Linked DNA regions of Callithrix jacchus. The protein of the gene in region 3 interacts with the protein of the main gene of each other region in a pairwise test. Links are inferred from orthologs where the notes say so. Each region holds a gene or a part of one and is shown on either strand. Other genes may lie near its edges. The genes, in order: BCCIP, BLK, CCDC33, NCK2, ZGPAT, melanoma-associated antigen D1 and LMO2.

Region 1 (3,990 bases), on a different chromosome or scaffold from region 3:
TGCAAACTTCGTCTCCTGGGTTCAAGAGATTCTCCTGCCGCAGCTTCTTCAGTAGCTGGGACTACTGGCGCCTGCTACCACACCTGGCTACTTTTTATATTTTTAGTAGAGACGGGGTTTCACCATGTTGGGCAGGCTGGTCTCAAACTCCTGACTTCAAGTGATCCACCCACCTCGGTCTCCCAAAGTGCTGGGGATTACAGGTGTGAGCCACCGCGCCCGGCTAATTTTTGTATTTTTAGTACAGACCAGGTTTCGCCATGTTGGCCAGGCTGGTCTCGAACTCCTGACCTCCGGTGATCCAGCCGCCTCGACCTCCCGAAGTGCTGGGATTACAGGTGTGAGCCACCGCGCCCGGCCCCCGCGAAGCATTTTTAATTGCAGTCCCTGGTTTTAAAAAAAAAACTTTAGATCAAGAAACGCGCTCCAGAAGTTTGGCGAGGGTAGGCTGGGCAGGCGCCTTCCGTCACCGGCGCAGCCGTAGGAGCCACAGACCTCCTGCCTGGGCAGGGCCAGGCCCGCGGCGGCCTCCCGGCCTTGGCCCCGCGAAGTCACACACCGCCCTGGGCCGGGGCCCTGCACGCCCGCGGGCCTTGGCCTCTGCACTGGTACCGCGGGCGGCGACACCTACCTCGAGGGGCTGGCGAGGCCTTAATGGGCTAAAAGACTGGACCGTGCCCAGCACCGGGCTTAGGACACCGCAGGCGCCCAGTCGGGGGTCGGTGTCGCGCAGTCCCAGCGAAGAGGCTGCTGACGCTGCAGGAGCAATGACAAGAGGGTGGGCAGCCTCCTCCCCAGGCAGCCTCAGGGCTGCGGCAGCGACCCGGGCCGGGTCCTAGGACCCCGGCACCTTAGCCTAGGGTCGCTGTGTGGCCGCGCGCACCGCTGGGTGCTCGCGCATGCGCCTCTAAATCCAGGCCGCGGAATGAGGCCTAAGGCTAGATGGGTTAAACCACTAAGCGAAGGGGAGGGGAAGCCTTGGGAGGAGTGAGAGAGGGTGGAGGGAGGAAGGAAAAAGCAAGCTAGGACCGCAAGCTGGACCTGACTGTAAGGGATCATGGCTGCAGAATCCAGCAGGGGCATTGGGGTTGGCGTGTACCCATCGCTGAGCTTCTTCGTAATCCCTCCCCCGCTTGGCTACTATGGGCTGGTCTGTAAGGTCGGGCTACGGGAAGCTGCGCAGGCGCAGTGTGGGCGGTAACATGGCGTCCAGGGCCAAACGGAGGGCTGTGGGAAGTGGGGTTCCGCAACCGCCTGGCGCCCCGGTCCCGCGCGACGACGAAGAGGAAGATGAAGTCGACGATGAGGACGAAGACGATGACGACAGTGACGAGGAAGAAGATGAAGACGACGAGGTCGTCGACGAGGTGAGAAGGACACACACTTCTCTAGTTGGCTTATGAACTTCGTGGCAAGCCCAGGTTCCGAGGGTCTGTGATCAGAACCTGGAGAAAAGTTGTTTCTCAGGTTCCTCCTCGGCCTTTGACACACTGCAGCCGTCGTAGTTATTTCTCAAAGGCCTACCCCGATCCGGTTATTCTCGCAACCCGCTTCCCCGCTAAAAAGCCCGCCGCGGCAGGTGTGTTCTTCTCGCCCGCTTTAGTGCTCAGGCCGAAATCTCAGATCCTGAATCGGCCACCCGGGGTCCGCAGAGCCGGCCCTCTCCCCCCGGGGCAGCAGCTGTCCGCCTCTGCACTGTGCAGGCTGCGCTCACGTGGGCCCTCAGTTTCTCGAAGGCTCCTGCCGGGTTCTACCGTAGAAGCCTTTTCAGAGATGCTCTTTCCCTTCCTTCTTCAGATCTCAGCTAGGCTGTATTTTCTGGTTTCCTGGGGCAGCTGACCCAAGGCGTGGGTAAATCTTTGGCTTCATAATCTCACCGAACTGGTTCCTGTCTTCAGAATAGGTCCTACCCTAGTGCACTTATTATTTGTTTAATAAATAATTCGGACTGAGTGATCCTTCAGACTATTGAATGTCTAAATAGATACCCCAGCCTTAACTTGTCCAAAGCAGAATTTGTATAATTCATGCCCCTCTCTTTAACCGTCGTCATTTCTGTAAATGGTCCCTAAATTCACCAGCTGTGTGATCAGTCTTCCTTTACAAATCTTTACTTTGGCTCTGTGCCTCGAATGCCATCTCACCGTTGTTCACTTAGAACTTTGGCTATTTTATGGGTTATAGAAAGCAGTGATTCTTGTGCTAACATGGGAAGTCTATCAGACGACCACAGTCTTAATTCTAAATCACCTGGGAATGAGGGACAGGGCTGATTTCTACAAACGTGGCTGTTCCTGTTGAAACCATGTGGAGATGATCCCACACCCGGGAAAAGGGTGCTGGACAGATGATCCATTTGCTGCCCATTTCCCTGGTGGTGCCGTAATAGGCTGGGACAGAGGTCCGAGGTGTCTGTCTACACAAAGAAAAAAACACTGGAAGAGCATTATTTACAGAATGTATTTAGATCTAAGGAATAAATTTAAGTCCTGAATAATGACAATTTGTTATTTGGCTTAGTTTGATCCTGTTTGGAACGCTCCCACCCTACCCCTTGTGTTTTGCTACTCACATAATCTGGCTGAGTTAGCGTTTGATCTGCAAAGCTGGACTTAAGGAGTTCAAATTGGAGCTGAAATTGCTTCAAAATTGCTTAGAGCAATTCCAGGGCGTTGCAAGTTTAACAATTCAGGAAGCCTTAAATATATGCATAGTCCGGGTGGCAAGGTAAAATTGGGTTTAATTTCCTCTGTGTTGTCCTTCAGCTAAGACCTAAATTCCCAAACCATTAAAACCTGAGGAGCATCAAAATAAATTATTTAATCAGAGCCCGAGGTTCATTGTATCATTTATCAAGGTATGATTTAGGGTCCTCAAGGATGGATCTTGATAGTGTTTAAAAGGAACTAGGTTTTGTTTTTGGTATTTCAGTGCCATCTTCTTTTAGATTATGTTGTCTTGAAGATACAGATCAGGGAGCCCAGCTACACATTCTTTCTTCTAGTTCCTCGTGCTCATGATATTTCCTTCTGCCTTAGGGCCTTAGTTTGTGCTGTTCCCTGTACCAGCAACCCCCTTTGCTTTTTCTTGGTGCCTTGCTCAAGTGTCACTTCTTTAAGGAAGCCTTTCCTTTCCTGACTTATTTTTTAAGTTGTTATAGCACTGTGATACCTTTGCTTTATTTCTACAAATATTTCCTTAATGTCTGTATTCCTCCCTAAATTGTAAGCTGCGTGAGAGCAGGATTATTCGTGTCTGCCTTACTAACCTTTTCTTTTTTTTTTTTTTTTTTTTGGAGGCGGAGTCTTGCTCTGTTGCCAGGCTGGAGTACAGTGGCGCAATCTCAGCTCACTGTAGCCTCTGCTTCCTGGGTTCAAGCGATTCTCCTGCCTCATCAGCATCCCGAGTAGCTGGGACTACAGGTGTGTGCCACCATGCCCAGCTAATTTTTGTATAGATTTGGGGTTTCATCTGCCCACCTCAGCCTCCCAAAGTGCTGAATTTACAGGTGTGAGCCACCACACCCATTATAACCTTTTCATCTTGAGTGTCTGGCATAGTGCTTGGTACCTGGATTGGTACTTAATAAATATTTGCTAGGTGAATGAAGTGTAACCTCAAATCCATGAGCTAAATTAAGCTCTAGGCAATTCCAGGGACTTTTGAAATGATTTTTATTTTTGCCCACTCTTTTTGCAATCAGGAAAATAATTTTTTCTTTGTGGCTGCTGTGACTGGTTTATTTGAACTGGACTTTCTCAACATTTAAACTAGGTTACTCTGAGTGTTTTGTTCTCTCAGGCTTTTGTGTCATGAAGAAATGTTGTGATGGTGCTTTGTATTCTCTACAGATGGCTATCTTGGCAATGTTTGCCTATTTTAAAGCCTAGATGTTTGTAGTTTTTCTGATAACTATTTTATGTGTTATTTACAGGAAGTGAATATCGAATTTGAAGCTTATTCTATATCAGATAACGATTATGACGGAAT
Region 2 (3,500 bases), on a different chromosome or scaffold from region 3:
ACAGCAGCCTACTCGGTGTCTCAGTGTCACACAGCGGTTTGCTCAGTGTCACACAGCAGACTACTCAGTATCTCAGTGTCACACAGTGGTCTGCTCAGTGTCACACAGCAGTCTGCTCAGTGTCACACAGCGGGTTGCTCAGTGTCACACAGCAGTCTGCTCAGTGTCACACAGTGGTCTGAACTTGTCATCTGGAACCAGCAGAGGGGCCTTTCCAGCAGAGCTAATTTCCTGTCCCCTTTTTGCTGGTGCTTGCGGGTTCCCAGGTCAGTCCCATTCTGGTCCTGCCCTGCCTAGCAGCCCAGGGAGCAGAGACAATGACTGGACCTTGGCTCCAAGGGACTTCCCGTGCCACCTACCTCTCCACTTCCAGGCTCTCCACTCGGGCCACAAAGTTGCTGGGCACATAGCCTTCTCTTCCTGTGACGAGTGACTTGGCCAGCCACCAGGCTCCAGTTCTAGCGGGAGCAGGAGAAACAGAGCTGTGATCATGGCCTCTGTGGGCCCATCTCTGGGCAGCTCCCAGGCCTCCTCAATGCCACCTCTCCCTGGAAGGCACAGAATCCGCAGAGGTAGACAGTATGGCAGGCAGGAAGGGGCTGTGCCTGCTGCTCCGTGGTATGGTGGGTATCTGGGTAAGCTCTAGGGGGAAGAGCTTATCTGTACAGCCTGACCAGCCCAAGAGGACCCAGGGCTCTGGCCAGCAGCCTTCCTCTTGATGAGTGGGATGTGTTCGGAGCTTGGTGAGGGACTTGGGACAGGCTTGAGGAAGACACAGTCGGGCGGCCTGTATAGGATCAATAGTCAGGACTTTCATGAGCTTGGCTCAAGGTCACTGCAGAACTTCAAGAACAAAATCAGACCCTCAGAACTCCAGGGGGCAAGACTGGTCACCCAGAGAGCGGGCCTAGATGGAGTTTCTGAGAAGGACACAAAATGAGCTAAAGCAGGATGGGCGTGTGTAATCCATGTGGGTGTCTGTCTTAAGAAGGAGACAAATATGGACATGACTGACTTAAATGCAAGGCTCTCAAGGAACAGCCAGACCGGCCTGCATAAAGGACAAGGTCCACATGCCCAAAGGAGTCAGGAGGGCTGCATGGAGGTGGTGGCATGGAACATGAACTTTGAAGGATAAGCGGGAAGTTGTGAATGGAAATCACTTCACCAGAAAGAGTCTGGAGAGGGGGACAAAAGGGCCAAGTTCAAGAAAATGCTGGGGCTAGGGATGGGGGCAGGGCAATGGGGAAGGTTTCTGGGGTCAGCCACGGAGGATGTGGTGGGCAGAGGAGGGAGGGATGTGGTGGGACTCCTGCAGGGACAGGGGACGGCGTCCTGGAGCCTCACCCCTTCAGGACCTGTAGCTTCTCCCCCTTCAGCATCTGCAGGTCCCGGTCATTCACGGCGGCATAGTCATAGAGGGCTACCGCGAAATGCTCATCTGAAAGGAACCAGGGAGAGATGACCAGGCCCCCGAGAGGGAGGGCAGGGCTGGGGCGAGCCTGTGATGGGAGCCACCTCTGGCTACCAGGAGGGGCGGTCTTCTGCTTGCCCATGCTGGAGATGACACTCTCATCCAGAACAGGCCCCCACCCCCACCCGTGACCCTGCCTGTGACCTCACCAGGACGGGCTGCCCCAAGAGCCCATCCTGTCCTCCTTTCTGGATCCATTAAGAAGCCCTATGGCCTGGGCAGGCCATGTGTGAGTTCGCTGGTGGCCAGAGGTCAGCACAGGGAGGCAGCCACTACTGGGCTGGTGGCCTCAGGCCCACACTGGGAGCCAGTGCTGGCAGTCCCTCATCTTATCCCACACCTGGTCTCAGAGGCCTGTGAGTTCCTCTTGCCCTTTTCCTCCTCTACCTCCTCCCACCTCTGTGCCCAAGAGGGGTGGTCTTGCCAGGTGGCAGCTGGAGCCCTGGCCTCCCCACTGTCTGTGCCCGAGCTCTGCCACACTGCCTGTGGCTGCCAGTGTCCCATGGACCCCCTGACTTGCTGGCAGGCCCTGGATGGAAGGGGCAAGAGGGCTCGGGAGCTTGGAGCACCATCTTCAAATGAGTACTTCTGTGACGAGGGCTCTCTGCACAGCCCTGGGAGCCACAGGACCCACCTGGTGAAGGTAACCTGGAGAGCGCTTAGCTTCTCCAGGTGAGGTGGCTCAGCTCTGTCACTGAGCTGAGGGTGTAACCTTGGGCTGGTCACTTCTCAGCAGGAAAGAGGGGGTTGGAATAGGCAACAGCGGTTCCCTGCAGTTTTAAGATCCAAGTTCTGCTCACGAGTGTGACAGATACTGAAATTTCCCGGGGAGGGAGTCGCATCTACCTGTTGTCACCCCTTCACCATTCCTGGGACAGAGTCGCACCCCATGTGCTGAATGCCTGTTGTATGTGGCGTGAGCAGGTTAATGGGTGTGACCCAGGCTGGCTGAGGCAGCCTTTCCCCATGCTGTGTGGACGTGGATGATGAGGAGGCTGCGGGAGGTCACTGTGAAAAAGGCAACCTCCTGGGAGCCCCTGAGGGCGGAGCCTCTGGCCCAGGAAGACCAAGCTCATTCCCTACGGCATCCAGCAGGCCAGCCCACCAGAGCAGAAGTGGAGTCTGGGGACCAGGTGCAGTGGCTCATGCCTGTAATCCCAGCACTTTGGGAGGCTGAGATGGGCAGATCACCTGAGATCAGGAGTTCGAGACCAGTCTGACTGACATGGTGAAACCTTGTCTCTACTAAAAACATAACAATTAGCCAGGTGTGGTTGTGTGAACCTGTAATCCCAGCTACTCGGGAGGCTGAGGCAGGAGAATCACTTGATCCCAGGAGGTGGAGGCTGCAGTGAGCTGAGATCACATAACTGCACTCCAGCCTGGGCGACAAGAGCAAGACTCTGTCTCAAAAAAGAAAAAAAAAAAAGGTGACATCTGGGGACCAGGGAGGGGGCATGGGTGGTTAGGTGATCAGCAGGTGACTGTCAAAGTGGCTGGGAGGGGGAAACAAGAAGGTGTCCTCCACGGGGCGCAGCCCAGGGCTGGAGGCAAGGGCCTGGAGCCACTGCCCATCCTCTGAATTTGGGAGTTAGACTCTTTGCAAGCTTGGGTTTGATGATGGTGTGTGTCTTCTCTGGGACCCTTATTTTTATTCTTGTTTACAGTTTGTAAAGTCTTTCATTTTCAAAAAGTCCCACCAGGCTCAGGCAAAGTAAGGAAATTCATGCTTGGTTCCTGAAGACACCCCCAAGAGGCACGGAGCCTGGGCCCCGCTCAGCTTCCCCTTTTTCTCTTCTCCAGCCCTCAAGCTGCTCCCGACTGTTTCCTGTTCAACTCCACAAGGGGAGGGGGCCGTGGAGACTCAGCTTCCCGCACCACCCTTCTTACCTTCGTCCAGGTGTTCCTCGGGCCGTGGAGGAGTAAGGTGGTTAAAGACAACCTTGGGTAGAAACCATGCATGAGTTATTCCCGTCCCTGCCGCAGGCGCAGGGCCTGAGCAGGCAGCCAGGTGATCTCCGGGGAC
Region 3 (3,500 bases):
CTGGGTTCTAGTATCAAGACACTAACTTGCTCTGCGACTGTCAGCAAATCTTTTAGCCTCTTTCAGCTTTATGTTCCTCCTCTTCCACATGTTAAGACTTTAATAAAGAAGTCATGTCTCCCCCCTTGGATTGTGGTAGGGAGAAGACTGTGTTTTCAAGCTATAACATTCTGTGCAAGCACTCCTTGTGGCTGTCACTATTTTCCTTCCTTGTTAACCATCTGCAGCTCTCCATACACAAACCCTGCTGTAGGCAGACCTGAGGAAACTCATCTGGGGGATTCCAATGCTCCCAGCCAAAGCACTACCAGGAGCTGTGCAGACTGAAGCCCCTTATGCCCACTCACCATGGACCAAGAGTCCCCAGATCCAGTTGGGATTTGCCAGGGTTGAACGAGAGGTGAGTGCCATGCATTTTCTGCACCCTCTATTTTTGGAGCTCTGTGTGGGCAGTCATCAGATGAGCTGGAATTGGGGGTAATGGACAGCCACTCCTCCCTGCTCCTGTCTGCATGCTACAAACACGCTTCATCAGCTTCCTCTCTGGGCATTGTGCCCTTCCGGCCTCCCACTGCTCCCTTTGTGTGGCCAACAAGCTATTTCTGCCACCCGCCTGCTTTGGCCCTGACACAGGGTCTGAAACTCCCCTTCGCTTTTCATTAACACATCGTTAAGCTACCTCCCACCCTTCCCCCGCCTCTTGGCCTGGCCCCCATCTCCCCCACCCCCACCACAGACATCACCACAGCAACCGGTACCAACAACCATCCAGCTACTTCAATCTGCAGTGAGGCGCCTGCCAATATTCCTTGCCTGCCCAGGCAGCCTCCCCACTCTCTTGTCCCTCCTGCAGTTAGTCCTGCCCCTCTCTCTGCTGCACAATGGGCCCAGGGGTCACTGACCTCATTACATTTTTCCCTCTGTTACCCCAAGTGTGTAGAGCCCAGGGCAGGATCCCAGCTCAGGTCCACTCACCACAACCTCTAACTTCCCACCAGCCACATAAATGCATGCATGCATGCATACACACACAGGCACACACACAAACTACACATACTCATGCACTGCAAGGCACACACCACCATCCAGATCCATCCAGACACACACACACCACACTGTTGCAGCCAGACACACCCATGTACAAACACACACACATAAGCCACACAGACACGCATGCCTACAAGTAGACACAGCACGCATCACATTCACACATGCGCATGAACCAGCATGCAGGCATTCACAAAGACATGCACACACAGGCACGCTTGTGCCTCTGCATGAAATCTTATGTCAATTTTTCCTCCTCTTTTGCATCTTGTTAAAGCATCCCAGCAGCTCCACCTATCCCTTTACAGGCAGAAAAGAAAAATTCTCTCGCTTGACCTAGAACTAGCTCCTTCCCCTTTTATGGAGGCTCCCACTCCATTTCCTTTCTCCCCTTTCACAGTCTTCAGCTGGCTTTCTGCTCTTTGTGAGGAGAACAAGGAGTTCTGTCTAGATCCCTAGCAAGATTTCAAGGGAGAAAGGCAAGCCTGTCCCCTCAGGGAGAGACCACCTGCAAGAAGCAAGTCTGAGGTTCCGACTAGATAAGATCAGAGACATCACCAGGCACCTCCGGTCTGTTCTGACAGTGCCCAATGTGATGCCGCACGGTCTGGGTGTCAACCAGTCAGCATTCCCATGTTCCCCACCTGAGCTCCCCCAGGAGCTCAGACCCACAGTCCAACAGACCCACAGTGTGAAAGTAGATACAAGTGTGCACATGCTTGTGTGTACGTGGCACCTGCTGGCTCAGGCTGAGACCTGGGGAGGGCTAGGAAGGAATAGGGATCCATTCTAGGGACCTTTCAAATATTTTTTTAAAAATCAAATGGAAGTAGCAAGAACCCTGGAGCTGCAGTGAGAACATGCCATGTGGAGTCCTTGGTCCTCGGTCTTCAGCTTAAGCCAGTTAAATTCCCTGAACCTCAATGTTCTCTTAAGCAATGGGAGCAGCACTGCTCCTCCTGGGAGCTGGTAACTCCAGTGAGCGATGTGTGGGGACGTGCTGGGACACTGTAATGTCCTGTTTCAGTGGGAGACGGCAGTAATAACAGCCATGAAAATAATAACAACAGTCATAAAAAAAGATAAGCTTGCATCGTCTGGAAAATTCATTTATGTGGAACAACTCATTTTTCGAGCAGGATGGGGAGATGAGGTGTGACAGTATTATGATTTGTTCTAAGTGCTTTTAACTGAGCCCAGGGAAGTGTGCAGGTGGCTACCAGCTGCGCTGAAAGGGAGCCTGCTTCTGCCCTGAGTCCTTGGCCGTGTTCCCCCGCTGCCTACATATGCAGGTCCCGCCCAGCCCCCACCTCACCTTCTCGCCCTGCATCCTCAGCTGGGATCTCCACGTTCACCGTGTCCCCCCAGATAGGGGCTCTGGTGGGCTCTGAGGTCACAAATGTGACTGCCTTGGAGCTCTGGTCATTCTTTTCTTCAGATGTGCTTTTCCTGGGGAGAACGGGGGCAGAGTGAGTCAGAGAGAGGGGTCCTGTCTGTTGCTATCCCCCTTCCAAGCTCCACTGTCCATAAATCTGAGTGAAAGGTGGACAAAACATGGAGAGCTCCTTCCCACACGCATGACCCTCATGTCATCCCAGGCCCAGGGGACTCCAGGCCTCTCCCCTGGCTCCCCTGCCAGCCCAAGTGACCACACTGTCTTGCTGGCCACTGCTGAGGCCTTCACTCAGACACAGGCCTCTCATTTAGGCTCAGGGCAGGGGTAGGGGTAGGGGTAGATGCCTTGTCCTCGCCAGGGAGGGCTCTCCAGTTGGTGCCCACGTGCATGGCCTCCCTCTTCTCTAGGTTCTCTCTGGTGGGAGGAAGCCTCTGGGCAGGGTGGCTGTGCGGTGCCCCGCCTGGCTGTCCTCTCTTCTTCACCTTATTTCCCTAAACTTCTGGCCCAGATTCTAGGCTCCACCCAGCAATCCCATTTCTAAATGCTTGCAATGAAGCACGTACATGGTGCCTTCTGCGATGCCTGCTGGTGCCGAGCCTTGGGCTGAACCCCTGGAGCTGGGTCTGGGCCTGGGGGCAGGTGGTGGTGGCAAGGGCTTCTCAGCCCTGCAGCACCCAAATTGTTCAGGATCGGCCTGTTCAAGGTGGCATGTGAGCTTGGGCCCTCTGCATCCCAGTGCACCTCACAGGTATCTGAGATGCAGAGCCATCAAACGGCTCAGGAGAGAGTAAATACTTCTCCTCTAGAAGAGGTTACTAGGTCAGGGCCATCCACAGTGCTGCTCCATTAACTGCAGCAGTCATGGGCTGAGGAGTCATCCTGGAGGTCCTGTAGCAGGGGGAGCCACACTGCACCCCTTGTGGGGGAGAGGGCAAGGTGCACAAATGGTACCCCAGGATGGAAGCAAAGATGTCATCGCCACCAGCCCTTGTTCCACCTTCAAGGCCCCCAAAGGGAGTGGGGCAGGCCAGTTAGCTGAGATCACATCTGCTCTGTG
Region 4 (4,201 bases), on a different chromosome or scaffold from region 3:
CCAGTCTGTGCACAGTCAAGGAGGACTTCCAGTGTATTTAATATGGATGATAGTGCATTTCTCAAATATGGTACTGTGTACATAAGATCTGCTGTGTTTTGGAAAAGCTAAATAACCCCAAATGTAAATGACAGTGCCTGGGTAAGTACAGCAGGATCAAACAGAGAGAGATGAAGAAGATTTAAGTATGTAGTGTGTCCTAAGCAAAACACAAAGCCTGAAAACTGAGCACAGCTACCTGAAAAGGGCCTTCAGCAAGTCCCATCGTTAATAGGGTCAGTTTCTTCACAAGCGGACAGAGGGGTTTATGCAGCAGCCAACTTTCCCTGATGGTAATTTATGACCCAATTTCATCCAGTGTTTCATGATCAATCCCGTTGAATGTTTATGAAGCAGGAAAGAAGCTCAGAATCCATGCAAGGCCTCCAGGACAGGAAGTGGGCCAGGCACCTCCACAGATTCCCATGGCCAAAGTTCTTAATTTCAGCATCAAGTAGCCGCCAAAAGAGCACTAAGATTCTGCCACCGTCTCCAGTCAAAACTACATCTAACCAACCTCCAGGGGAGAAAATACTGAGGTAGGATTTTCCCTTGTGGTCACTTCTTCACAAGCAGGGTTAACACTTGCTTCGCAGGAAATCCCTGTTTCAAACATCAAAAAACCTACATGTCTAGCCCAATCTCCAGATGAAATGCATTTCTTCTCCATGTGTCCCATGACTGCCGTTCTCTTTACAGAAACCTCACACTGGCTTGAATCCTGTTACTAATTCACCCGTTTATGAACGCTTGGAAAGTGAATTGAGGGAGTGTTCACAAGCACAGTTCTGTACTGTTAAGTTAAAGCAGCCCAGGTTAATTTCATTTTCAGTCACTTTTCAGATTCGATAACTACATCCAAAACAGAAGCATGAAACACAACCTGAATCACTTTCATTCCTACACAAAATCCTTTCTGAGAAGCAGGGACTGGGTCTGGGGCCTGGGCCAGGAAGGGACTCCTCTACCTGTGGGTCCCGAGCAAGCCACGCCCACCGGCTTCTCTGGCTAGTTCCTTTCTGGGTCTAGGGAGGGAGCTGGCCAGTGCGATATTTTAAGCCCCTCCTGCCCACACTAGGGCCTGCTTATCCCATTATGCAGACGCAAACTTGGCAGAAGCAACCTTAAACCTGTTGGTAAAATAAAGCCAAATCTGCCAACCTGAATTGTCTGAAGTGGCCAAGGCCGACTCCATGCACGCTCGGCTTTGTCCCTGAAGCTGTTACAATATTAGTTTAAGTCAGGTGCCTGGGGTCCACCAGCCAATGACCCCTAGCATCCAGCGCAGACCTTCACAGAGATCCTTACTGTCTACAAGTTAAAGTGTGTGGCAAATTAAACCCCTCCACACAATGCCAAGCTAACTGTGTTTGTAAGGGAGTTAGGGTGCCTTAAAACTCACATATCAAATGTTTCCAGAACCACTCGGTGGTTAAATCGCCCTGAAAGAAACCGAAAGGCCGAGCGATTGTGAGAAACTTTGGTTCAGGTGGCTGTAAGAGTCCTGTAAATCTGGGGCAGGGCGCACAGCCTGAAGCAGGGCACAAAAGCTCCCTTCGCCGACGCGAGGACCTCCTTTATGCGATGTGACAGCAGCTTTGTGCGCGATCATAAATAGTTGTAATAAACACAGTTAAGTTCTCCCGGCCGATCTCGGCCTCCCGCGTCCCTGCGCCGGGGCCCTGAGATCCCCGGCTCTTCTTCCCTAGCACGCGCGCCCTGGCGACCCTGGCCACTGCACGGTCCTACGCTAGCCCCAAGCTCCGTGCCAGCCGCCGGCCAGCAGGCCAAGAGCTGCCTGCACACCCGGGGGTCTCGAGTCCCCGGGCCCCGCCGCCGGGCCCCTTGCCCTGATCCCCGCCTGCGCCCTTGGCGGGCGTCCCCGCCCCTGCGCCGGCCCCCGATGGCGGGGGGTGGGGACGGGAAGGCAGGCAGGAAGGTGCCGGGCCAGGAGGAGCGGGGCAGCTCGCGGTCGGGGGTGCCCAGGCCGCGGCGGGGCCGAGAGCACCGGTGGGGCGCGGAGTGGACCCGCTCTCCCAACCCCTGCCCGGGCGCGCCCCGGCCCGAGAGCCCCGCTAAGCTCCCAACTCCGCCCAACGGCCCCAAGTTTGCGGCCCCCGCCCCGCTCCCGCCGTGCCGCGCTTACCTCGCCGTGGGCCGCCCGCGGAGCCGGAGGGCAGCGGCGCGGGTCCCGGGGCGGCGGCCGCGCTGCGCCCGCCCAAGCGCCGCTCTTTGTCTGCGCCGCTCCCTCCTCCCGCCGCCGGGCGGACGCTGCCGGCCCGGGCGGACCCCGCCGGCCCGGGCGCCGCGAGCCTCCCAGCCGCCGAGCCCTCCCCTCCGCCGGCCGCCCGCTCGGCCGCGCGGCTCTGGCCTGACGATCCCGGCGGCGGCGGCGGCGGCGGCAGCGGCGGCGGCGACCCTCCCCCGGCGCTCAGCGCCCGCCTCCTCCGCGCTCTTCCTCCTCCTCCCGTGCTCCTCCCCGGCCGCGCCGTGACGCCGCCCAGGGGCCGGCCCAGGCCCGGGCGCGCGGGGCGGGGACCCGAGACCCACCTGGGGCGCCCCCCGGCGCCACCAGGCTCCGCGTCTTGGGTCTCGGTAAGCGCTCCGGGATAGAGCAGGGCTAGGGGACGCTCCGCTCTGCAGGCGCAGCGCGGGCCGGGCGTCCGGTGCAGGAAAGGGTCCCTACGCCCGAAATTGCGCGCGGGCGGTGGGTGGGGAGGAGAGTGAAAACCCAAGTGGTAACTTCCAGCCTCGGATGACTGCCGGGTGGGCTTTGCGTGCTCTTTTTTGTTTGTTTCATGTTCTTATCACGAAGCTCTAGTTGCTGGGCAGCCGCCCCCGTCCCGGAAGCACTCCCACGGCAGTCAGCGAAGCAGGCCTGTTGTCCATCAGAAAAGTGACTTGTATAAAAATGTCACTTCCTCCCTGTAATTGCTTGTGGGCATTTTTATTTATTTGCCTTGCATCTATTTACTTTCCCAACCAGACACGTTTTTAGTCCATCATCCCGTCCGAGGCACTCCCTAAAAGAAGGAGAGGAAACTCGACCTCTGTTGCCTCGCAGGCATCCAGGCCAGCCCCAGCCAGTGGAATCCTGGTTGCACACCCGTGGGGCAAAACCCGAAGAGGAGCTGCCCGAATGGGCCCCTAGAAGGTGGGTGGCTAATAGTGGGACCGTTCAGCCCACACAGCCTCGAGTTGTGGCTAACCTGTAAACAAACTTGGAAGATTAAAACCCAAGAGCAAGGGGAAAAACACAAGCTTCCCTTTCACAGGCACTTTCATCCGGATGTCTTTGCTCCTCCCCATGTGATTTCCCAAAGGAAATTCTAATATTCAAATAATTCTGATTTTCTGGCAGGATAGCCTGCATCCATGTTAATAAGATTCTTTCTTAGGCTCCTAATCTCTGCTTACTATTAAGGCAATAATAACTTACCCAAGATTATAAAGCAGTATTATTTGACTCACTCATCTCCTGCCTCTTCCAGAAAGGAAATACCCTAAGATAGGTAACTAGAGGCAGTGTAGCTTTGCAGTCAGACAGGTGAGTGACTATTGACTTCCTGAACTGTGTAATTTCACACAGGTGGGCCTTATCCTTTCTAAAATCTGTCAAATGGGGAGTTTTTTGTTTTTGTTTTTGTTTTTTTGAGACAGTCTTGCTCCGTTGCCAGGCTGGAGTGCAGTGGCATGATCTCGGCTCACTGTAACCTCTGCCTGCCCAGTTAAGTGATTCTGCCTCAGCCTCCGGAGTAGCTGGGACTACAGGTGCCCGATCCCATGCCCAGCGAATTTTTGTATTTTTAGTAGAGATGGGGTTTCACCATGTTGGCCAGGATGGTCTCGATCTCTTAACCTTGTGATCTGCCTGCCTCAGCCTCCCAAAATGCTGAAATTACAGGTGCGAGCCACTGCTCCCGGCCAGGAGATAATATTTACCTATCTCCTATGTGAAGTACCCTGGCAGTAGGTAGCCCTCAATAGCTCAATAAGTGGAAGGAGGCACAGTACACTGAGCAGGAATCAGATATAAGCTCAGGGAATTGGGACAGCGTTTTTTTTTTTTTTTCCTTTGTTTTGACCTTGTGAAAGAAGCTACTTCAGTTCATCCTTTTGGAAAAGCCTTGTGTTAATAATTCCTAGTTTACAATAAGGAAAG
Region 5 (4,255 bases), on a different chromosome or scaffold from region 3:
CAGTACACGCATGTAGTATCAGCTATCAGAGAGGCTGAAGTGGGAGGATGGCTTGAAGTAGGGAGGCAGAGATTGCAGTGAGCTGAGATTGTGCCACTGTACTCCAGCCCGGGTGACAGGGCAGCAAGACCCTGCTTAAAAAAAACAAAAACAAAAACCCCCACAAAGTAAGACATCCAAAGAACTAGGAGTGCTACCTGGCCAGCCTGAACTATTGGCTAAAAAGAAAATTACCTACTAGAAAGCCTGGTAAATATTTCTTCTCAGAGAAAAGTAAAAAGGAGCAAAAATAAAGCTATGCGCTTATGGAAATGGAGACATCATGGTAATAGCTGTGGATATTCGAACATGGAAGAGGTGCTGCCATGAAACGTGTTATCTATAATGATGTGGAAGTGACTCTTTCTTGTCTTCACACTGACTTGGACTTTCAAAAAGTTACTTTTTAAGTAATATTTCCTTATCAGAGATCCACTCTGAAGTATTCATAGTTGGAAAAACCCAGTACCTTCTGAAATTTGCTTTAAAATATCCAGGAAGGGAAAAAGCGGGGCGGGGGAACAAGCAAAATGATAATAGACTGTGGGCAGTGATTATGCTAGGCTCTCTCATCTGGGGCAGGTTTCAAAATTTCCATTAAAGTAAATTTAAAAGTTGAATTCTAGAGAATAAAACTGACAACAGGGCCGGGTGCGGTGGCTCACGCCTGTGATCCCAGCACTTTGGGAGGCCAGAGCGGGTGAATCACTTGAGCTCAGGAGTGTGCGACCAGCCTGGGCAACACAGCAAAACCGCACCTCTACTAAAAATACAGAAATTAGCTGGGTGTGGTAGTCCAGCTACCTGGGGGACTGAGGCAGGAGGATCAATTGCGCCCAGGAAGTCCAGGCTGCACTCCAGCCTGGGTGACAAAGTAAGACCCTGTCTCAAAAAAACAAACAAAACTGACAATAGGTTGGGGACCTATTCTCTTTCACATAAGCCTCGCTCTGTTGCCCAGGCTGGAGTACAGTGGCTGAATTTTGGCTTACTGCAACCTCAGCCTCCTGGGTTCAACTGATTCTCCTACCTTAGCCTCCTGAGTCGCTAGGACCACAGGTGCCTGCCACCACGCCCAGCTGATTTTTGTACTTTTTTTTTTTGAGACGAAGTCTCACTCTGTCACCAGGCTGGAGTGCAGTGGTGTGATCTGCAACCTCCACTTCCTGGATTGAAGCGATTCTCCTGCCTCAGCCTCCCGAGCAGCTGGGACTACAGGAACACACTACCATACCCAGCTGGCTTTTATACTTATAATAGAGACAGGGTTTCACCATGTAGGCCAGGATGGTCGCCATCTCTTGACCTCGTGATCCGCCCGCCTCGGCCTCCCAAAGTGTTGGAATTACAGGCATGAGCCACTGTGCTTGGCCGATTTTTTGTACTTTTAATGGAGATGGAGTTTCGTCATGTTGACCAGACTGGTCTCCAACTCCAGACCTCAGGTGATTCCCCCCCGGGCCTCCCAAAGTGCTGAGATTACAGGCGTGAGCCACCTTGATTAGCCTCCTTCCATGCATCCTGCTCTTATCCCAGAAGAAAGAGGCACATGCCTAAACAAGGATACTGCTTTCACAGCCCGCCTGCCCCAGGAAGCTGGGACCAACTGCAAAGGGAGGGCCGATCCTGACCTGACCCTGTATGTGCACCCCGTACGCCTCGAGGTTGCCATCTGACAGCAAAGGGCTTTACCTGCAGTTCTCCTTGAAGCGACACTTTCCCTCCAGGAAGAACGGGCAGGGCTTCAGGGACTTGTGAGTGGGGTACAGGTAGAGCACACGGACACCCGCCGAGCCATCCTCCGCCTCTTCTGTGCCCACCACCATGGCGTTGTGATACTCCAGGGTGCCCCACGAGCTGTAGTAAGGCGCGCTCACCTTGGTCCCACTCAGCTCTTCCTCCTCTCCCTCTTCCTGCCCACCTGCCTCAGATTCTGGCCCCGCCTCTGCTTTAGGAACTGTCTCTGATCCGGCCCCAGGGGCCGCCTCGGCGATGACCTCCCGGAAAGCCTGGTACTCAGCATCTTCCTGGCCCAGGCGCTCTCCGTCCAGCGCGGCCAGCAGCTTGCTCTTCCTCACGGACACCAGGCTGGCCTCGGTGAGCTCGATGAGCTCCTTCAGGTCCCCCTGTAGCTGGCGCAGGTCGGCCTGCTCGGACGAATCCAGGCCGGCGCCCAGGGCCAGCTCCACCTGCTGCAGCTGCGCACGGTAGGTCTGCAGGGCAGCCTCCAGGCTGTCCTCATCCATGTTGAGAGAGGGAGGCGCTGGACCGGAGCTGCGAGAAGAGGGGCCTGGTGAGCCCCGCGTCTCGGGACCGACACGGAGCGAGGGTCTCGCAGCCGCCACCACAGCCTGCGGCGGGCACGGGCACGTCCCCTTTCCCTCGCGGAGACACCGGTTCAGAGCGATAGCTCCCGGCGCGGAGGTCGCAGCCCGGTACCCCCGCTCGGGCTCCGCACTTCCCTTCCGAGCCGCCCCGGGCTCGCTGCTAGCCGGGTTCCGCGTCACCCCCTCCCCGCAGGGCGACCCCGCGCGGCCCTCCGCCGAGCGCACCCGCCGCGCCCGCAGCCTTGCAGGCTGGTCCCGACCCCCGCCCGGCCTCTCTTCCGTCCGGCCAGGGCCGCGCACCTCCTCAGCGCGGTTTCCCAGCCGCCTCCATAGAGAGCCCGCCGGCCTCACCGGCTAAAGCAGGCCGGAGCCCCGCTTTCGCCCTCGCAGCCTACCGGCACTTCCTCCCGCCGCAGCCGCCTCCGGAAGTGCCTGGCGCGCGGTGGCAGCCGGGAAGCGGAGCGCAGAGGCCGCCGGGACGCGATTAAGCTTCTGCCCCACGGCCCGCGTCCCGTCAGGCCCCGCGCGGGGTCGGTGCCGGGTCAGCAGCGGCGGCTTAGAGGCCGCGGCGGACGCAGGTAGGTCGGAGGCTGTGCGGCCGGGCCCGAGGCCCGAGAGGCGGCCCTGGACTCGAGGTTGGGACGCGGGTGTGACAGGAACCAGCTTTAGCAGCTTGTCGGCGAGCCTCGAACCTGGCGGCCGCGACTGGCAGCCGCCGGGAGCCCGGGGGCCCGAGCGCAGTTCCTCCTCCGCGGGAGTCCGTCCCCGCCCGCCGCGCGCTGCCTGCGGGTCCGCTCTCCACAGGCCGTCCCCGTTTTAAGAAACGGGGTGATGGGGCGCCTGCAGGGGCTCCTGGCTGTTACTGGGTGGGGCTCGCGGCCGAACACCCGAGGGCGCTGTGCCCAGGCGGGGCTGCAGCAAGTGCGTTCCCCGTTCCGCGCGCGTGAAGCGTGGGAGCGACGCGGGGGGGAGGGCGGGGGCGCAACCGAGCTCACTGTGAACACTGGCGGGGTGGTCCCGCGGGCAGGGAGGCCCCGGGGCAGGAGTGGCGGAGGGTGGCTGATCTGGGAGAAGTTACGGAGGCCGAAGAGTCACAAAGGGATGGGGTGGAAGAGAGATGAGGAGTCGGGAATGGCCCCAGGTTCTAGTCCTGAGCGGTCAGCTGGACGTGGAGCACCACTGACCACCGTGGAGAAACTCGGGGGGCGGGTGCGTTCTTGCTGTACAGTGACATCTGTCGGGGTGTCCAGGGCAGGATGTACACGCTGCTGTCCGGCCTGTACAAGTACATGTTTCAGAAGGACGAGTACTGCATCCTGATCCTGGGCCTGGACAATGCTGGGAAGACGGTGAGTGCCCCTCCCTTGCCTGAGCCCCTCCCCACGACCTGGTGTCAGCTGCATGCTCACCACCCAGACAGAATCCAGACTTCTGAGAAGACAGGGTAGTCACCGCCAGCTTCTTGAAGAGCAGAACGTTGCTTTGTTTCTGTTTTTTGTCTTTTAAGGAGCAGGCCTGAGTAAGGATATTTGGGAAAAAGACTTGGGAAACACTGTAGTCCCTATTTGATGTGTCTGCCTCCCTCTCTCCTCAGACCTTCCTGGAGCAGTCGAAAACCCGGTTTAACAAGAACTACAAGGGGATGAGTCTATCCAAAATCACCACCACCGTGGGTCTCAACAGTAAGGGGTCTGAATAGCAGGGCTGTGGGTTTGGGACCTTGAGGATGCTGTGATGTTCACCCGTGTCACCCAGAGCAGGGCTCTGACTGGGAGTTGGCCTCATCCTGGGCTGGACCCTGGGTCAGCGTCCATATGTGTGGGTCCTTTGCTATAATGCCTGTCTCTCAGGCTGGCTGGCACTTTGCAGTTGGGGAGCTCCCATTGCGG
Region 6 (4,073 bases), on a different chromosome or scaffold from region 3:
GAGCAAAACTCTGTCTCAAAAAAGAAAATTTTAGCTGGGTGTGGTGGGTGTGGTGGCATGTACCTGTAGTCCCAGCTACTCAGGAGGCTGAGGCACAAGGATCACTTGAGCCCAGGAGATCGAGGCTGCAGTGAGCTTTGATCATATGTCTGTACTCCAACCTAGGCAACAGAGCTAAACCCGGTCTCAATTAAAAAAAAAAAAAAAAAAAAAAAGAAAAGACAATCATGGAAATTTGAATATAGACTGAGTATTAGATGATATAAAAAATTATTATTGACTAGGTGCAGTGGCTCACACCAGTAAATCCCAGCACTTTGGGAGGCCAAGGTGGGTGGATCACCTGTGGTCCAGAGTTCGAGACCAACCTGACCAACATGGTGAATGAAACCCCATCTTTACTAAAACTACAAAAATTAGCCAAGCATGATGGCAGGCTCCTGTAATCCCAGATACTTGGGAGGTTGAGGCAGGAGAATCACTTGCCAGGAGGCAGAGGTTGCAGGGAGCCAAGATCACACCATTGCACTCCAGCCTGTGTAACAGAGCAAGACTCATCACAAAACAACAGAAAAAAAAAAAAGAAGAAATTATTTATCTTACTAAGTAAAATAATGATGTGGTGGTTACTTAATGCACCTATAAATTAGAGATACATAGTGAGTTATTTACCTGTGTGATGACATATCTGGGATGTGGGGAAAAAAACAGGTGAGGAGATGCACAGTGGGCTGAAACGAATGTGATAATATTTAAATGATACGTAATAATGATTTGAATAAACAGACATCAGCAATACTCTTTGGAAATGTTCCTAAGGGTTTTGGTGTCACAAAAGCTCTGCCTCATTGTGTATTCTTTTTTTTTTTTTTTTTTCTGAGATGGAGTTTCGCTCTTGTTGCCCAGGCTGGAGTGCAATGGCGCAATCTCGGTTCACTGCAACCTCCGCCCCTGGGTTCAAGCGATTCTCTTGCTTCAGCCTCCCGAGTAGCTGGGACTACAGGCATGCTAATTTTGTATTTTTAGTAGAGACAGGTTTCTCCATGTTGGTCAGACTGGTCTGGAACTCCCGACCTCAGGTGATCTGCCCGCCTTGGCCTCCCAAAGTGCTGAGATTACACACGTGAGCCACCGCGCCCAGCCTGTTTATTCTTTTTTTTTTTTTTTTTTTTTTTGAGACGAAGTTTCGCTCTTTTTACCCAGGCTGGAGTGCAATGGCGCGATCTCGGCTCACCGCAATCTCCGCCTCCTGGGTTCAGGCAATTCTCCTGCCTCAGCCTCCCGAGCAGCTGGGATTACAGGCATGCACCACCGTGCCCAGCTAATTTTTTGTAATTTTAGTAGAGACGGGGTTTCACCATGTTGACCAAGATGGTCTCGATCTCTTGACCTCGTGATCCACCCGCCTCGGCCTCCCAAAGTGCTGGGATTACAGGCTTGAGCCACCGCGCCTGGCCTGTTTATTCTTAAATAAAAACTATCCATGGCCTAGAAAAGAGGATCACCCCTTATTTTGGCAAGCATAACACACAGGAGGGAGTAAACTGCTTGTTCAAAGAAAACTTTGGTTAAATTCCTCTTTAGATTCTGATAGAGCCTGAAAAACTCTGATTCTCACCATAAATTTAATGATCATTTGAGTAAAGGCAATAATAAACTGTGATTATTATTTAATAACTGATGTTCTCACAAGATAAATTTGACATGGTAACAAATGTAACAGAAAAGTAATTTCATATTGCAACAAATAGATTATGTAATACTTGCAAAGCTCTGAGAAAAAGTCTTTGTCTCAAAAAATGTCAGCTTGGTGCTTAATGCTGCTATCAGAGACCAGAAAATAATTTGCATAATAAACTCAACTCATATAAAGTAATAAATTTGTGGCTGGATACCACGCCTGTCAACCATTTCTCCACTAACTTTTACAGGGGATGGGAAAGTTTACGCTCTCTGAAGCTCTGACACCTGGTTATAGGTATAATCCACTACGTTTGCCGCCCCCCCCAAAAAAATTTGGGGATTCAATCCTATGGCAACATAAAAAACAGATGCAACGAGAAGACAGAAATCTGTGCAATAGTATCTAAATGATGTGTAATTTTGTTTAGAGTTAAAAAAATAAAAGAACATAATTCGAACAAGTGCCTATGTCTCTTAGGGCTCTAAGGTTTCTGCTTCTTTCCTTCTACTTTAAAAGAACCAAAAAAGAAAAAAAAAAAAAAAAAAAAAGCCTTGACCTTGAAGTCACACCTACTTTTGCAAAGTACGTAATTCACTGGTCTCTGGAGGAGGGGAACGGGAAAGACCAAAGGCCAGCAGCGGGAGTAAAACAGGGTTTAGGAAGGGGCTTGCAAAGAGTCGCAGGCTAAAAGGATGCGGGGCAGAAGGCGGAGGTAAGAGGTAGGAGATAGGAGTGACCTGTGGTAGAGGGAATGTGATTGAGGGAATGACCCTGCCTCCAGACCGGAGAAGAGGATCTGGGATAAAGAAGAGAGGTGAAGCATGACCGAGAGTCAGGTAGATAAAAAGGACCACAAGAATCGGGAAGGGGAGTCGGATGGGACCTCCCATCTCCGGAGGAGAAGGGAGGAGACAGTGAAGCTATCAGAATCACATGCGTCAGAAGCATCCTTCCTACAACGTACGCGGGGATGAATTCTCCTTTCCACCCCATGTTGAGGCACAAAAGGAGGTCTCCCTGGAGTGTATCGGTATTTATATGTGAGAATTACCAAGACCCCTTCTTTACACTCACCTTGACGGAGAAGGCAGCGACGATGGCGTGACCGGAAGTGCTGTCCTCTTTTGTTTGGCGGAAGCTTTAGCTTCTGCAGCAGCCACCCCCTCCTTCACTTCAGGCGACTTCCTGTGCCTCTCTAGCAAGCTCTGCAATGCTCTATCTCATTGACTCCCTCACTAGATCAACACCTACATTGTGCTGTAAACGGGCTGAGAGAATCACGAACTTTTTACAAATCCTAGTTCTAGTCACGCCAGGAGCTGCAGTATCTCTGCCAAATCCATCAGGTGCAATTTGCCACCTCTCATTGATTCGCCTTAGAAATATCTCCCTTCATCTTAGTCCCTTAACTTAGGCCTCATTTTTCTCTGTCTTGGATGTCTACAGTGACATATTTACCAAACTGATTTACTGTTTCTGGCACACCACTTTGAAAAAATTCCATTTGTATTAGCGGTATGTGTCAACCTTTTCAAAACATCTTAAGTCTAAACAACTTTTGCTTTGAAATCGTATCCAGAGTTACATACCATACTCAAATGTCCAAAGAATAAAGCTGGACTCCTGTAGAAAGCATTCTTGCATTATTTTACATACTCCCCAAGAAAAGGAAGAAAATGAAAACTGAAAAAAATGTTTCAATAATTTTTTAAAAACTCTACTCTGGTTAAATACCTTCAGAACAAGTTTAACATTGAATTATTTATTGACACTACCTCCAGAAAGTTCTCCTGGCCCCCAAATCTAGACCACAGTTCTCACCAAAGGGGAGGATCTCTTTTTGTGGTTATTTTTAGTCAATCCACAAGTATATACTGAGCACCTACTATGTCCCAAATACTATGCTACACCCAGAGACACTACACTAGAAGCCCACAGCCTAGAGCTAAAATGACATTTAAACACTTAAGAGCCTAGCATAAAATATGTGTTTATCAATATTTGTTAAATTAATAAATGACCAAAATGTGGTCAGAGCAAAGAAGGAAACTAGCAATAAGGTCCTTAGTTTTGTTGGCATTTTTACAATTTATTTCAACAATTTGAATCACATTTCCCACTAAACAGTGCTTTAGCTGAATCCCATCAATCTTCATATTTTGTATTTTGATATTTTTATATATTGATTTTATCTTTGTAGTTCCTTTTTTTTTTTCTTTAGTAAGACAGGGTTTCACTCTGTTGTCCAGGCTGGAGTGCATTGGCATGATAATAATTCACTGTAACCTCAAATTCCTAAGCTCAAGTGCTCCTCCTGCCTCAGCCTTCTGAGTAGCTAGACTACAGAAGCATACCACTATGCCTAGCTAATCCTTTTTATTTTTTGTAG
Region 7 (2,556 bases), on a different chromosome or scaffold from region 3:
TCAAGGCAATACACAAACCAAGGTGCTTGCTCTAAATCCTCAAAGTAAAGGTCCTCTTAACCACTTGTCATAAAACACCCTGAGACACCCGTCTTGGAAAATCGAAGTGTCAAGCTCAGCATCTCTGCCACATTTCAAACTAGGTAATTACCTTCTCTCCCAAAGGGAATCTGCTTTATGTATTTGTGTCCTTTCTAGGTTACAAGTTTCCCAAAGGCAATGATCTTGCCTTCCAGTCCCTCCACACAATGCTGAAGTGAAATGCATATTTTACACTAACAGTTTAATTATTCTACATCCCTCTGAGCTACATGATGACCTGTTATATAATTGCCAGTAATATAGAAATGTGCCTGCCTCACACAAACCCTTGCAACACATAGAAGTTTTTATTTGACCTAAGAGTAAATTGCATATTTGCTTCTCTTTTACAACAGAAAACACAGACCATTTCTCCGCCATCCCAAATTATAAGTCGAAAGCAAATAAACAACACTGCATTTCAGTCTGTCATTTTTATTAAGTCTGCAGAGCTGGTTTTTTTTTTCCTACACACGACAAATACTTTGATATAATCTAGGATAATAAAATAGTTGAACAACTTTTTTTTTAAGATTTATATCTGTATAGAAACAATCTGTGGAACTCCCCACCTCAAAATGAAGGTGTCTAAAAACAGTGATTCATCCGCATTGCTTTAAATCATTGTTTGGTTAAAAGTTGTGGTTTCCATTCTCAACCAAAATGTGTCTCCATGTGTTTTTCCTCAGGTCCAAAGCTTAAGGCCTTGGGAAGGTGGCCCAGAAAAAAAAGAATGGCCACTCTCCTCTCTGTCCTTCCCTCGTGTGGAGGATGGTGATTAAAACAGGGGTGTTACACAAGCCAGGAAGGAAAGAAATCAATTGCACGTCTCTAGTCTGCAAGCATCAAAGTCACAAGTCTTTACACAACAACTCCCTATCTGTAGATATGAAACCATCATGATAGCACAGTGCCTGCTTGTCCCTAAATGCTCCTTTCTTCTGCCAATCATGTCAGTTACTATGGCTGGGCTGTGGCCATAAGTTCTCCCTAAGGGCTGGTCCTTCTGTCACCTTGAAGTGTCAGCCCTTGCATTATGCCACTTGGATGCTATGTCTTGGTACCCAGTAAGGGTCTACCATCCCCTAAGAAATCCCTCACCCCACCCTCAAACCCCCAAAGTGCCTATGAGTAAAGACGCCATGGAGACGGTGTCTCCAGTGAACACCTCCCCAAAGATGCCTGGGGGGACTTGCGCCTATATCATCCCATTGATCTTAGTCCACTCGTAGATGTCCTGTTCGCACACTATGTCGGAGTTGATGAGGAGGTATCTGTCGCCTACACAGAAGTGCTTCTGACAGGCAGCACATTTGAAACATTCCAGGTGATATACTTTGTCTTTCACCCGCATCGTCATCTCATAGGCACGAATCCGCTTGTCACAGGATGCACAGAGACCATCTTGCCCAAAAAGCCTGGGGCAAAAGAAAGAAAAGCTAAGAAGGAGTGAAAGGGACAATCCTGGAAGGCAGGGCTCGGAGATGAGCCCCAGAAAGGAGGCTGGACTTTCAGGATGTCAGGTAGCCTGGAAAGGTCGGATCCAGAAGGAAGGCCGGCTAGTGCAGTCTTTCCCAGGAGGCAGAGCAAACCCAGATGAAACTGGCATTTGAATCTGGCAAAAAAAAGCCCCTATCCGCAGCAACCGTTCCACATTCCGCTAGGCTGCCCCTTGGCTCCTCCTCTGTGGGGGAGATTCTCAGCTGATGTGATCTACGATAAGGAGTTAGGCAAGTATTACCTGTCCCCTCCCAGGGGAACCCTCATTTCAGAAGAGCAGCTGGAGTGAGACCCACGGGGCCCCTCTGAGAGGATACTGACCAGGACTGCAATAAAATGGGCATTCTTCTGAGGCTCCCAAACTCTATCATGTCAACAGCTGCTGATGCTACCCATGGGGAGAGCTGGCCTTGAATATCTCCATAAGCTGCAAAGCACATCTCCACCTAATTATTCACTGGGGCCCCAGCTGCTGGGAGATGGGGAGTTCCACAGAAAACATGTGCTGCAGCTCATCGTGCCTCTGAGATATGGAGGACAAACAGGAGCTCTCCACCATGAATGGAAGATCTTAATTCATGGTCCTTGCTGCCCCACTGGCATGAGTCAAAAGGGAAACTTCTTTTCTGACATTTAAATCAAGACTCTCCCAAGCCTGTTCATCAGTCACTTATTTCAGGCAGTATTCAGTGTCAAGGGGGAGACAGAACATGGCAGGGCTCAGTACATGGTTCTCAAAGCTTTGGTCCTGGGACCAGCAGCACCCACACTGCCTGTGAACAGGTTAGAAATACAAATTCTCAGGCTGGGCCCAGTGGCTCACGCCTGTAATCCCAGCCCTTTGGGAGGCTGAGGCAAGTGATCACTTGAGCTCACTAGTTTGAGATCAGTCTGGGCAACATGGCAAAACTCTGTCTCTACAAAAAAATCAAAAAATTAGCCAGGTGTGGTGGTACATGCCTGTAGTCACAGCTA

The links.
Region 1: the proteins of CCDC33 (region 3) and BCCIP interact in a two-hybrid assay, tested with the Homo sapiens proteins (3 studies listed by BioGRID and IntAct). The two-hybrid records come from large-scale screens. The link is inferred for Callithrix jacchus from reciprocal best matches to the Homo sapiens genes CCDC33 and BCCIP.
Region 2: the proteins of CCDC33 (region 3) and BLK interact in a two-hybrid assay, tested with the Homo sapiens proteins (3 studies listed by BioGRID and IntAct). The two-hybrid records come from large-scale screens. The link is inferred for Callithrix jacchus from reciprocal best matches to the Homo sapiens genes CCDC33 and BLK.
Region 4: the proteins of CCDC33 (region 3) and NCK2 interact in a two-hybrid assay, tested with the Homo sapiens proteins (2 studies listed by BioGRID). The two-hybrid records come from large-scale screens. The link is inferred for Callithrix jacchus from reciprocal best matches to the Homo sapiens genes CCDC33 and NCK2.
Region 5: the proteins of CCDC33 (region 3) and ZGPAT interact in a two-hybrid assay, tested with the Homo sapiens proteins (2 studies listed by BioGRID). The two-hybrid records come from large-scale screens. The link is inferred for Callithrix jacchus from reciprocal best matches to the Homo sapiens genes CCDC33 and ZGPAT.
Region 6: the proteins of CCDC33 (region 3) and melanoma-associated antigen D1 interact in a two-hybrid assay, tested with the Homo sapiens proteins (2 studies listed by BioGRID and IntAct). The two-hybrid records come from large-scale screens. The link is inferred for Callithrix jacchus from reciprocal best matches to the Homo sapiens genes CCDC33 and MAGED1.
Region 7: the proteins of CCDC33 (region 3) and LMO2 interact in a two-hybrid assay, tested with the Homo sapiens proteins (2 studies listed by BioGRID). The two-hybrid records come from large-scale screens. The link is inferred for Callithrix jacchus from reciprocal best matches to the Homo sapiens genes CCDC33 and LMO2.

What each region holds. Positions count from the first base shown.
Region 1 is NC_133513.1:119,131,363-119,135,352, forward strand, and holds the start of BCCIP (BRCA2 and CDKN1A-interacting protein), read left to right. Parts: upstream 1-1,190; 5' UTR 1,191-1,202; coding exon 1,203-1,367; intron 1,368-3,934; coding exon 3,935-3,990. Other genes in the region: UROS (uroporphyrinogen-III synthase), read right to left, coding at 174-372. UniProt on the Homo sapiens protein: During interphase, required for microtubule organizing and anchoring activities. During mitosis, required for the organization and stabilization of the spindle pole.
Region 2 is NC_133514.1:10,520,035-10,523,534, forward strand, and holds part of BLK (tyrosine-protein kinase Blk), read right to left. Parts: intron 3,417-3,500; coding exon 3,365-3,416; intron 1,442-3,364; coding exon 1,348-1,441; intron 459-1,347; coding exon 360-458; intron 1-359. UniProt on the Homo sapiens protein: Non-receptor tyrosine kinase involved in B-lymphocyte development, differentiation and signaling. B-cell receptor (BCR) signaling requires a tight regulation of several protein tyrosine kinases and phosphatases, and associated coreceptors.
Region 3 is NC_133509.1:21,103,042-21,106,541, reverse strand, and holds part of CCDC33 (coiled-coil domain-containing protein 33), read right to left. Parts: intron 2,497-3,500; coding exon 2,363-2,496; intron 167-2,362; exon of another isoform or gene 1-166.
Region 4 is NC_133515.1:15,811,118-15,815,318, reverse strand, and holds the start of NCK2 (cytoplasmic protein NCK2), read right to left. Parts: upstream 2,801-4,201; 5' UTR 2,590-2,800; exon of another isoform or gene 2,534-2,589; coding exon of another isoform or gene 1,673-2,533; intron 1-1,672. Other genes in the region: uncharacterized protein LOC118147454, read left to right, coding at 1,673-2,533. UniProt on the Homo sapiens protein: Adapter protein which associates with tyrosine-phosphorylated growth factor receptors or their cellular substrates. Maintains low levels of EIF2S1 phosphorylation by promoting its dephosphorylation by PP1.
Region 5 is NC_133506.1:59,197,781-59,202,035, reverse strand, and holds the start of ZGPAT (zinc finger CCCH-type with G patch domain-containing protein), read right to left. Parts: upstream 2,801-4,255; 5' UTR 2,762-2,800; exon of another isoform or gene 2,667-2,761; intron 2,314-2,666; 5' UTR 2,286-2,313; coding exon 1,732-2,285; intron 1-1,731. Other genes in the region: ARFRP1 (ADP-ribosylation factor-related protein 1), read left to right, coding at 3,623-3,715, 3,961-4,048. UniProt on the Homo sapiens protein: Transcription repressor that specifically binds the 5'-GGAG[GA]A[GA]A-3' consensus sequence. Represses transcription by recruiting the chromatin multiprotein complex NuRD to target promoters.
Region 6 is NC_133524.1:52,079,226-52,083,298, reverse strand, and holds the start of melanoma-associated antigen D1, read right to left. Parts: upstream 2,801-4,073; 5' UTR 2,759-2,800; intron 1-2,758. UniProt on the Homo sapiens protein: Involved in the apoptotic response after nerve growth factor (NGF) binding in neuronal cells. Inhibits cell cycle progression, and facilitates NGFR-mediated apoptosis. May act as a regulator of the function of DLX family members.
Region 7 is NC_133511.1:99,233,470-99,236,025, forward strand, and holds the end of LMO2 (rhombotin-2), read right to left. Parts: intron 1,500-2,556; coding exon 1,280-1,499; 3' UTR 501-1,279; downstream 1-500. UniProt on the Homo sapiens protein: Acts with TAL1/SCL to regulate red blood cell development. Also acts with LDB1 to maintain erythroid precursors in an immature state.